2 linked regions of the Coturnix japonica genome follow. The protein of the gene in region 2 interacts with the protein of the main gene of each other region in a biochemical or structural test. Links are inferred from orthologs where the notes say so. Each region holds a gene or a part of one and is shown on either strand. Other genes may lie near its edges.

Evidence for each region.
Region 1: of the proteins of IFIH1 (region 2) and TRIM65, one has a biochemical effect on the other in vitro, tested with the Homo sapiens proteins (2 studies listed by BioGRID, with this or other methods). The link is inferred for Coturnix japonica from reciprocal best matches to the Homo sapiens genes IFIH1 and TRIM65.

What each region holds. Positions count from the first base shown.
Region 1 is NC_029533.1:4,022,707-4,026,751, reverse strand, and holds the start of TRIM65 (tripartite motif-containing protein 65), read right to left. Parts: upstream 2,801-4,045; 5' UTR 2,672-2,800; coding exon 2,234-2,671; intron 2,008-2,233; coding exon 1,912-2,007; intron 1,840-1,911; coding exon 1,606-1,839; intron 1,489-1,605; coding exon 1,308-1,488; intron 1,081-1,307; coding exon 997-1,080; intron 355-996; coding exon 1-354. UniProt on the Homo sapiens protein: E3 ubiquitin ligase that plays a role in several processes including innate immnity, autophagy or inflammation.
Region 2 is NC_029522.1:25,614,624-25,618,678, forward strand, and holds the start of IFIH1 (interferon-induced helicase C domain-containing protein 1), read right to left. Parts: upstream 2,801-4,055; 5' UTR 2,556-2,800; coding exon 1,986-2,555; intron 75-1,985; exon of another isoform or gene 74-74; coding exon of another isoform or gene 1-73.

The DNA.
Region 1 (4,045 bases), on a different chromosome or scaffold from region 2:
GCTGGATTTTCTCCTCCTGCCCCTTGTGCCGGGCGACGTAGCTGTCCTCCCTCACCTGCAGCCCCCACGAGCCGCCATCCAGCCCAATGTTGAACTTGCAGCCCTTCACTTTGTGCCGGGAGAGCCCACCGTAAGTCACCCCCAGCACCACAGAATGGCTGGAGATGGTCACCTCCCAGTAATGGCGGCCCTGCCCGTAGCTCTGCACACACAGCACCTGCCAGGGCTCGAAGCGATGGCTGCGCTCCTGCCAACCTGCAGCGGTGCTGGGGCCGTGCTTGGCTCTGCGCTGAGCACACGACAGCTCCAGGTACTTGTTGGCCGTGTCGGGATCGAAGGTGAGGTTTCGGTGATCTGGGGACAGCAATGACATGGGGATGCTTCAGCACAACCCAAAGTTCATGGCAGCCCCCACCAGAACCCCCCTTCCCCCTAAACAGATGGGTTTGAGGAGGAGATATGGGGTTGTGGGATTTACTGACCTGGTCCCATTGGCTATTCTGGGCTCCTGGCTGCTGCTAATAAATGTTGTTGGTTTTTCTATTAATAACACTGAGAACAGCTCATGCGACTCAGTGGAAGAAACCCTTATAGGTCCTGTATGCACTGATTGCCTTGCTGGGAAAAGCAACCTGACCAAAGCACCCTAAATATTACAAGTATTTGGGTTGTTTTTTTTTCAGCAGGGAGGAGATGGGAAAGGAAGCATTTAGGAAACGGTCCCTAAAGGAAAAGGGAAGGGGCACCAAGGGCTGAGTGTGGGGTGGGCACTGGATCAGCCCTGCACACCCCTCTGGGTGCTGGCACTGGGACAGTGCTGCATCCAAATCTGGGGCATCGGGAAGGGTGGGAATGGGGTGAGATCAGCAGGGGCTGACCCCATAGCAGGCACTGTGGGAAAGCCATCCCTTGTGCTGCTGCCCCCTACTAAGGAGCCTCTCCCCAACCCCATAGTGCTGCCCCAGCCCTGCAGCATCCCCCCCTCCTGCTCCTCACCCTTCAGCAGCTCAGCACGCAGCCGGCACTTGGGGACAGGGCTGGACACCACCTTCATTGGTGTCTCCTCGGGCTGCACCGGGCCTGTGGGTGACAGGGACAGGCATGGAGGGTGATGTCACCCAGCTGCTGAGGGCAGAGGAGAAGGGAACCCCATTGGGTGCACATTTGGGAGTGAGCAGCAAGGAGGGGACACGCAGGAACCACCCAGCCCCTCCTGTACCCAGATACCTGCCCTCATCCCCGTGTGTCCCAGCACAGTCTCAATGGCCAAAGTGAGGTGGAGGCATTTAGGGCAGCCTGAAGCTCACCTGGGGCAATGGGGTCAGGTGCTTCAGGGGCACTGGGGCTCAGCGAGGCAGGCAGCTCCTCCAGCAGCAGCCTGGAGGTAGCAGTGAGGATCTCGCTCATGGGTTCCATCACAACAGCCACGTTGAACTCCACCAGCGGTGGCACCTCCATGCTCTGCAGGGTTGGGAGCTGCAGGAACTCCTGCAGATGGACACACAGATATCAGGGGAGATGTGACAGCCCCCAAACCTGCATAGGCAGCCCCAAAATGCCCATTCTCCATCCTTACGGGTGGGATTTGGGGTGTACCAATGGTACCTTGAGGAAGGTCTGATGGTCAGTGCAGTCCATCAGGTGCTGTGCCTGGTCCCGGTGCTGCCCAAGAGCCTCCAGATGATCCTTCAATGCATTCCGGTCCTTTTCTATATGTCCCATAGCCACTGACTCCTCCTGCTTCACCTTGGCTACCATCTGCTCCCGGAACTTGGCCAGCGCTTCCTCCAGGTGGGTAAATTTGCTCAGGATCACAGCTTGGAGCCTCTCAGAAGAGTCCTGCAGGGATGGAAGGCTGTGAGGTGTGGAGTGCTCCCACCCAGCCCAGCCCTGGGGTGGCTGTGGCCTCACCTCGATGCTCTGTGCCCGCTCCTCCAGCTCCCGCAGCGCCTGCTCCATCCTCTCTGCTTCTCTCTGGGCTTCTTCCAGGGACCTTTCCAGCTGAGCCTGCGGAGGGAGGCAGCCCATACTGCAGCCCCTTGCCCCCAAGGACCATGTTAGGAGCAGGGCAGGCTGCATTCCTTTGCTGCTTCGTGCCTTTACACCCCTTTTTTCTAAACCAAAGGGATCACAAACGTCACACAACGGGGCTCCCCTTGTTCTGCCTTTTGGGGCGCCCTCCATGCCTGACAGCCACACAGCTCAGCACACAACCCCCCCATCTCTTCCCCACCTGCTTCCTGGAGCGCACGTCTTCAAACAGAGCCGTGCGGTGCTGCTGGCACCTCCGCACGACGCACACGCAGCAGATGCAGCGCTGCTCATCCTCACAGTACAGCTCCAGCGGGCGGCCATGCAACGAGCACAGCCCAACATGGGCCACCTCGCAGCCCCCTGCCTGCACCCTGCCCGTCCGTGCCAGCTCCACCACGTCGCTCAGCGTCACGTTCTTCTTCAGCTCCAGATGCTGCTCGCAGCTGTAGCGGCACGTAGGGCACGTGTAGCCCCTCTTGGGCCCGTTGACCGCCTGCTCCTGTTTGTTCCTGTGGTTGTCGATGCAGTGCTCGCAGAAGTTGTGCCCGCAGGGTAAAGTGATGGGCACCACAAAGAGCTCCAGGCAGATGGAGCACAGCAGTTTGTCCTCCAGCTTCTCCGAGGTGGGGGAGGCCATGCTGAGCTGGGGATGGGGAAAGGAGCAGGAGGGTTGGAAGCGGCCTGCAGAGCAGGAAGAGATGTGTGACGCTGAGCATAGGGGCGGGTCAGGGCTCTGGGCCAGCAGTACCCTTAAAGTGACACCCAGTGGGTGCAGCTGCCCAGACACAGCACTGCAGGATGCAGGAAATGCTGCACTGACAGCACCATGCAAGGGGCTAACAGGGCTCAGAGCAAGGCATGCCATTGTATCCATGCACTGGATGGGTTTTGCACTGTGGAATGATGGAATTGCACTGTTCTGTGCAATTCAATTTCACTCTTTCATTTGTCAATCGTTGCTCCTTGAGAGAGCATCTGTCAGAGCAGCTGCTTGTCCTCCTTTCTGCAGTGATAAAGGCTACAACCCAGCCAGCCCAACCTCACATCTTCCCTTATTATGCAGCTCATGCTACTCTCATGTGCTCAGGCACCGCTGCTTGCAGAGCAAGGTGGGCATTCCCAGTCTGCTCCTTGCCTGTTTTCAGTGCACATCAGCAGGGCTGAGCATTGAAACACAACACAGGCATCAAGGCAATCAGCCCTCATTCAGCTGGAGCCTGCAGCCTAAAGGGACTGCACTGCCCTGCACCAAACCCCCTCTCCTTGTCTTCACATCGCTCACTTGCTCCCAACCTCTCATTGCACTCCTTGTCTGCTTGCCCTTGCAGGCCCCTTATTGCTGCACACACGTTACTGGAGTTAAGCTGTAACAGCTCTGCAACCTCCTTGCATGCTGTTGCTTTGTGCTCACCCCTCAGGACAGCAGCAGAGCACCCTGCAGATAATGGTGCTGAGCAATGGCAGCAGGTGGGCACTTCCATGCAAGCTCCTTTGCAGGCTGGAGGGTCTTAGGATGTGTCTGGGGAGTTATTTAGAACATGAAAGTGAGAGATTGCACTGAGGTCGCTGCAAAGCAGAGCAGAAAGCATGGACTGCAGCAGTGCCAGCTCTGTCTGTGCTCCATTCATCCACATCTGGCACAGGCTGTGTAGGGAGTGAGGTGAAGGAGACTGATGTTCATGTGCTTCAGCAGCCATTAGGAGAATCCAGCCTCACAAATGCTGACCTTGTATGTCTTCACCACCTGTGTAGTTGTGCTCCTCCCTCCTTACAAAGCCCAAGAAGGGAAGGAGATCCAGTCCAGAAGAGCTGTGCTTCTCCACAGAGCTCCCCCAGCTCTGTACCACCTGGCTGGTACGCCAAGCTCTTCCCAATAAAGACAGGTCAGCATCACCAACATCACTCAGAGTATTTAATCTGATTCATTAATCTGAACACAGAAATGAAAGCTGGCATAGCCCTGAACTGCAGCACAGAAAGGGGAAGGAGATGCAAGTTGGCCTGGATTGTT
Region 2 (4,055 bases):
CAAAGCACCATGTTCCAGCATAGTCATTTCCATTAGCTTTGCAATTTCGCCAGTGCTGAACAAAAACCTGCATGTTGTGCTCACCAAAATCTGTGCCAGTGGAGGTGACAGCTGTTCATGGCCAGATGAAAAATGACTTGACTTTCATGTCACCATCACCACTGTGGAAATGCACCACCTCGCTGAGCTCATATCCACTGTTTGCTCTCCATAAACTTTCAGCAAGCATCGATAAATGCCAATGGTTGCCATTTATTTTCTGCACGGACGAATTTAATGCAACACCTTTGCTTCGCCCATGGTTCCACATCAGGTGCCATTCAGTCAGATTGCTCCTCCACACCCATCTTTCACGCAGCAACGTGTAATGGAATACTGGTGGGGAGGTTCGCCCTCTGCTGCCATATTACCAACATATACCTCTGACATCGAGGGCAGCAATAATAAAATAGGAGGCATCAATTTTGGAGCAGACCTAGTAAAACATGTGATCTTAAATATATATTTAATATATATTATACTAATATATAAATACTAATTTTTTTTATTTTGATATGATAATTGGCATCCACTCTGGTTTAAGGATGAGCCATCTTGGATTAAGGAGAAGAGATGCAATACAGCTTACCAGAACTCAGACCTCACCTCTAACCTGACTTCATTAATAAAAAGGAAAGTGTCCCTTCTCAAATACTGTACCATAAAGACAGAACATAATAAGACAATATAATAAAATAATAAGAGTCGCCTGTTAAAAGTGACTACTACTCTACAATAAACCATAGAAAAGCATTCAAAGGTTGTGACACACAAATTATCACAAGGGAAAGAAAAGCACTGCTCCAAAAGCAGAGCTGCCTGGGACAGGTGTTCAGACTTCCAGAAGAATGTCCATAAAGTTCAACAGTCATCCATCCAGATATGCAAGAAAATGGGCAGGCATAACAGCTGACTTAAATTTGGCTGAACAGTGTAAAAACCTGCTAAATTAGACTGAAGGGGGTGGGAACTGGGAGCAGAGAAAAGCAAACAGAAAGCAGCAGCACTGCTGGGGGATGTCGTTAAGAAATCCTCTGCCCCATGTGTTGAAACCTGTCAGGGTTGTGAAAGGTAACGAAGGAGACTTAAGTAGAAACAAAAACAGCATAAAGATGATCAGGGAACACTTGCATTCATTAAGGAATGGATCCAGAAGTCTCCTAAAAGTCTTCTGTCTCTGCCTGCCCTGTTAGCATGCTTGGCTCCCCATCCCTTGTGGTACAGCTGGCCCTTGCTGCTTCCTGATGGTCATCAACCAGATGAAATTAAACACATGACTCTCATTTAACTGAGATGGAGCACTAAACTACTTTAAAAGTTTACACAAAGCTCATAGTGCAAATACCACACAGATCCACAATTAGTTTACCAAGTTTTGCCTTATTGCTATAGCAAATACTACGTATTTTCATTTCAGACACTGGTGGAATCCATTGGTTTTGGTTCAAAGGAGGTTTCACAGTAGTTCAGGAAAGCCATTCCCAGCCAAATGGAGCCAAGATTGGCATATGCTTTCATCAAAGTTAATGCTCGTTCTTTGTTGCCAAACTGGTATTGCTGCCCAGCTTCACAGTCTACTATTGGGTATGATATTCCTTAGTGAACCTAGGGCAGAAAATAAAGGTGAGGGCAATTCAAGTGCCTTGCAGGACACAGCTGGGGGTCAGAATGCCCTTGTTCCAAGCCAAAGGCCTGTGTCAAAAGACAACAGTAAAGCTGGCCAGATTCCTCTTTTCTAACCCATGGCATTGTCATAGCCTTTGTCAGCTGACATCCTGACCGCTGGCAAACAGCCTTCGTTGGCTTACATGGAGCTTTTTCGCCAAGGTGGGTTATGCCCGTTTATTTCTGCACTTGCAAGCCCATTTCTTGCTGCAGCTTCCTCTCCACCCAGCAGCCCCTGGGAGTGGCCGAGCTGCGTGGGGCTGGCAGTATGGCTCACCTACCCTAACCAGGTCCTCCTCCTGGAAGATGCCCAGCTCCAAGCACTTCACGGCCACCTCTCTGGTCTGCATGTTATCCACAAGCGTGCCGTGCAGCAGCTGCACCAGGTGTACGCAGAGGTCGTGGTCGTCCTCCTCCCGGGGCGAGGGCAGCTGGCTGGGGTTCACGTAGCAAGCAGCCAGGTCACAGCCACCTTTCTTCAACGCCATCACGAACTCATTGAACCACCCGGAGCCGTGGGGTCCGCGTTCCACGGCGCGCAGCAGCTCCTCGGCCCCATCCACCTCGCCGCGATTCTGCGCCGCAGTCCGCACCCTGTCCTTCTCCTCCGGGCTCAGAGAGTGCATCCAGTCCAGCACCGGCAACACCCGGATACAGCGCTTCAGTCGCGGCCTGAAGCAGGAGATCATGTAGAGGAAACGCTCGTCTCGACACTCCTCCGACATCGCTGCGCTGACGGCACCCGGGCCGGCTCTGCTGCTACCGGGAGCGGGGGATACGGCGGCGGCCGAAGGAGCCGGAGTCGCCGGCTCGGCGTCAGCAATTCTCTGGCTGCCGCAGTTCCCGGGCATTTAACATGAACCCCGATGTGGCTTTCGGTTTCGTTTGCTGCTCGCTACGTAACGGCAGACATTCCCAACCCCCGTAGGGCAGGGCAGGGTACGGGGAAGTGTTGATTCCAAACAATTGTATAGTTACAACGGGGACGCTGAGTTTGAAAACAAAACTGACGCGTATCGTTCGCTTTCCAGAGCGTGCATTCCTAGAGCTGCTCACAGCTCATCCACGATCTCTATACGAGAGGGAGCACCGGGGTGGGGGGGTTGAGAAGGGGGAGGAGGAAGAGGAGGAGGAGGCGGTGGAAGGGAAAGATCAGCGTCCGGCTGCAGGACACGTCCTTTTCAGAGCGCAGCCAGTTGTACCTTCGTGTGCCTTTATGTCACGCTTCACTTTACAAACCCCACGTACTGATCTGTCTTGTCTGTCAGTCCTTCGGGTGCAGCCTAAAACGCTGGGGTCAGAACCGGATGGGTTTCCACAGTGAGCACAGCACAGCAGAACACGTCGGGCTGCCCACACAGGCAGCTGTACCAGCCCTAACGTACTGCCCATGAACTGGTACCTGACTTGAACTTAGCTCTGCTACTGGCTCTAACAGGTCAAAACTGTAGGCTTTGGATATTTGTGCAAATGAAATCTTTCTTCACAATTTATTTTTCTTCTCCATAACTAATGGTAGTATTCCAGACTCTGGTGATCTTTGCTATATAGATGTGATTCAAATTTAAAAATAAAGGAATAAATCTGAAGGCCTGAGGTCACTGGTTTCATCCTGCAGAGATCCCAAAGTGCACCTTGGAGGTGGCTGCTGTCCTCGTGTAAAACAGAATTAATTCACGTCAATCTTGGGTTTCACCCAGCAGCACTGCAGGATGAGTTCAGTTCAGAGATGCTGCAGAAATTCGGTTTTCTCTCTTGCTTGTATTTACTGTACAGTCATTTTCAGTCACTTTTCATTTCCTACTTCAGTTGTTTTACTTTCGTTTCCCTGCTGCTGATCTCTGGTTTCACTCACTGCTGTTTTGTATTACTGCACTTCGGAGTTTCACTTGAACAACTTCCTCTTCCCACTACTTTTTCCCACCTTCATTCCTAACATACCTACCAGCCCGTGTTTCTGGCAAGGCCTCGGGACCTGCAGCCGTCACTAAGGCACAGTTTGTGTAAACAGATGTTGTGCACACAGCAGTGTTACCTGAGGCACAGATACCAGAGCAGTCCTTTGTAGGGTCAGAGAGTTTGCAGACACTACAAGGATGCCTGTACCTTACTTGTGTCAATGCAGCCTGATGTTGGGACCACTCTGGGGGTGGCTGTTGCCACCTTCTAGGAAGGAGAAGATGTACAGGGCTGCTCTGGAAGTAATGCCTCCTATTTTTATTTTTATTTTTGGGGGTGGCTGTTGCCACCTTCTAGGAAGGAGAAGATGTACAGGGCTGCTCTGGAAGTAATGCCTCCTATTTTTATTTTTATTTTTATTTTTATTTTTATTTTTATTTTTATTTTTATTT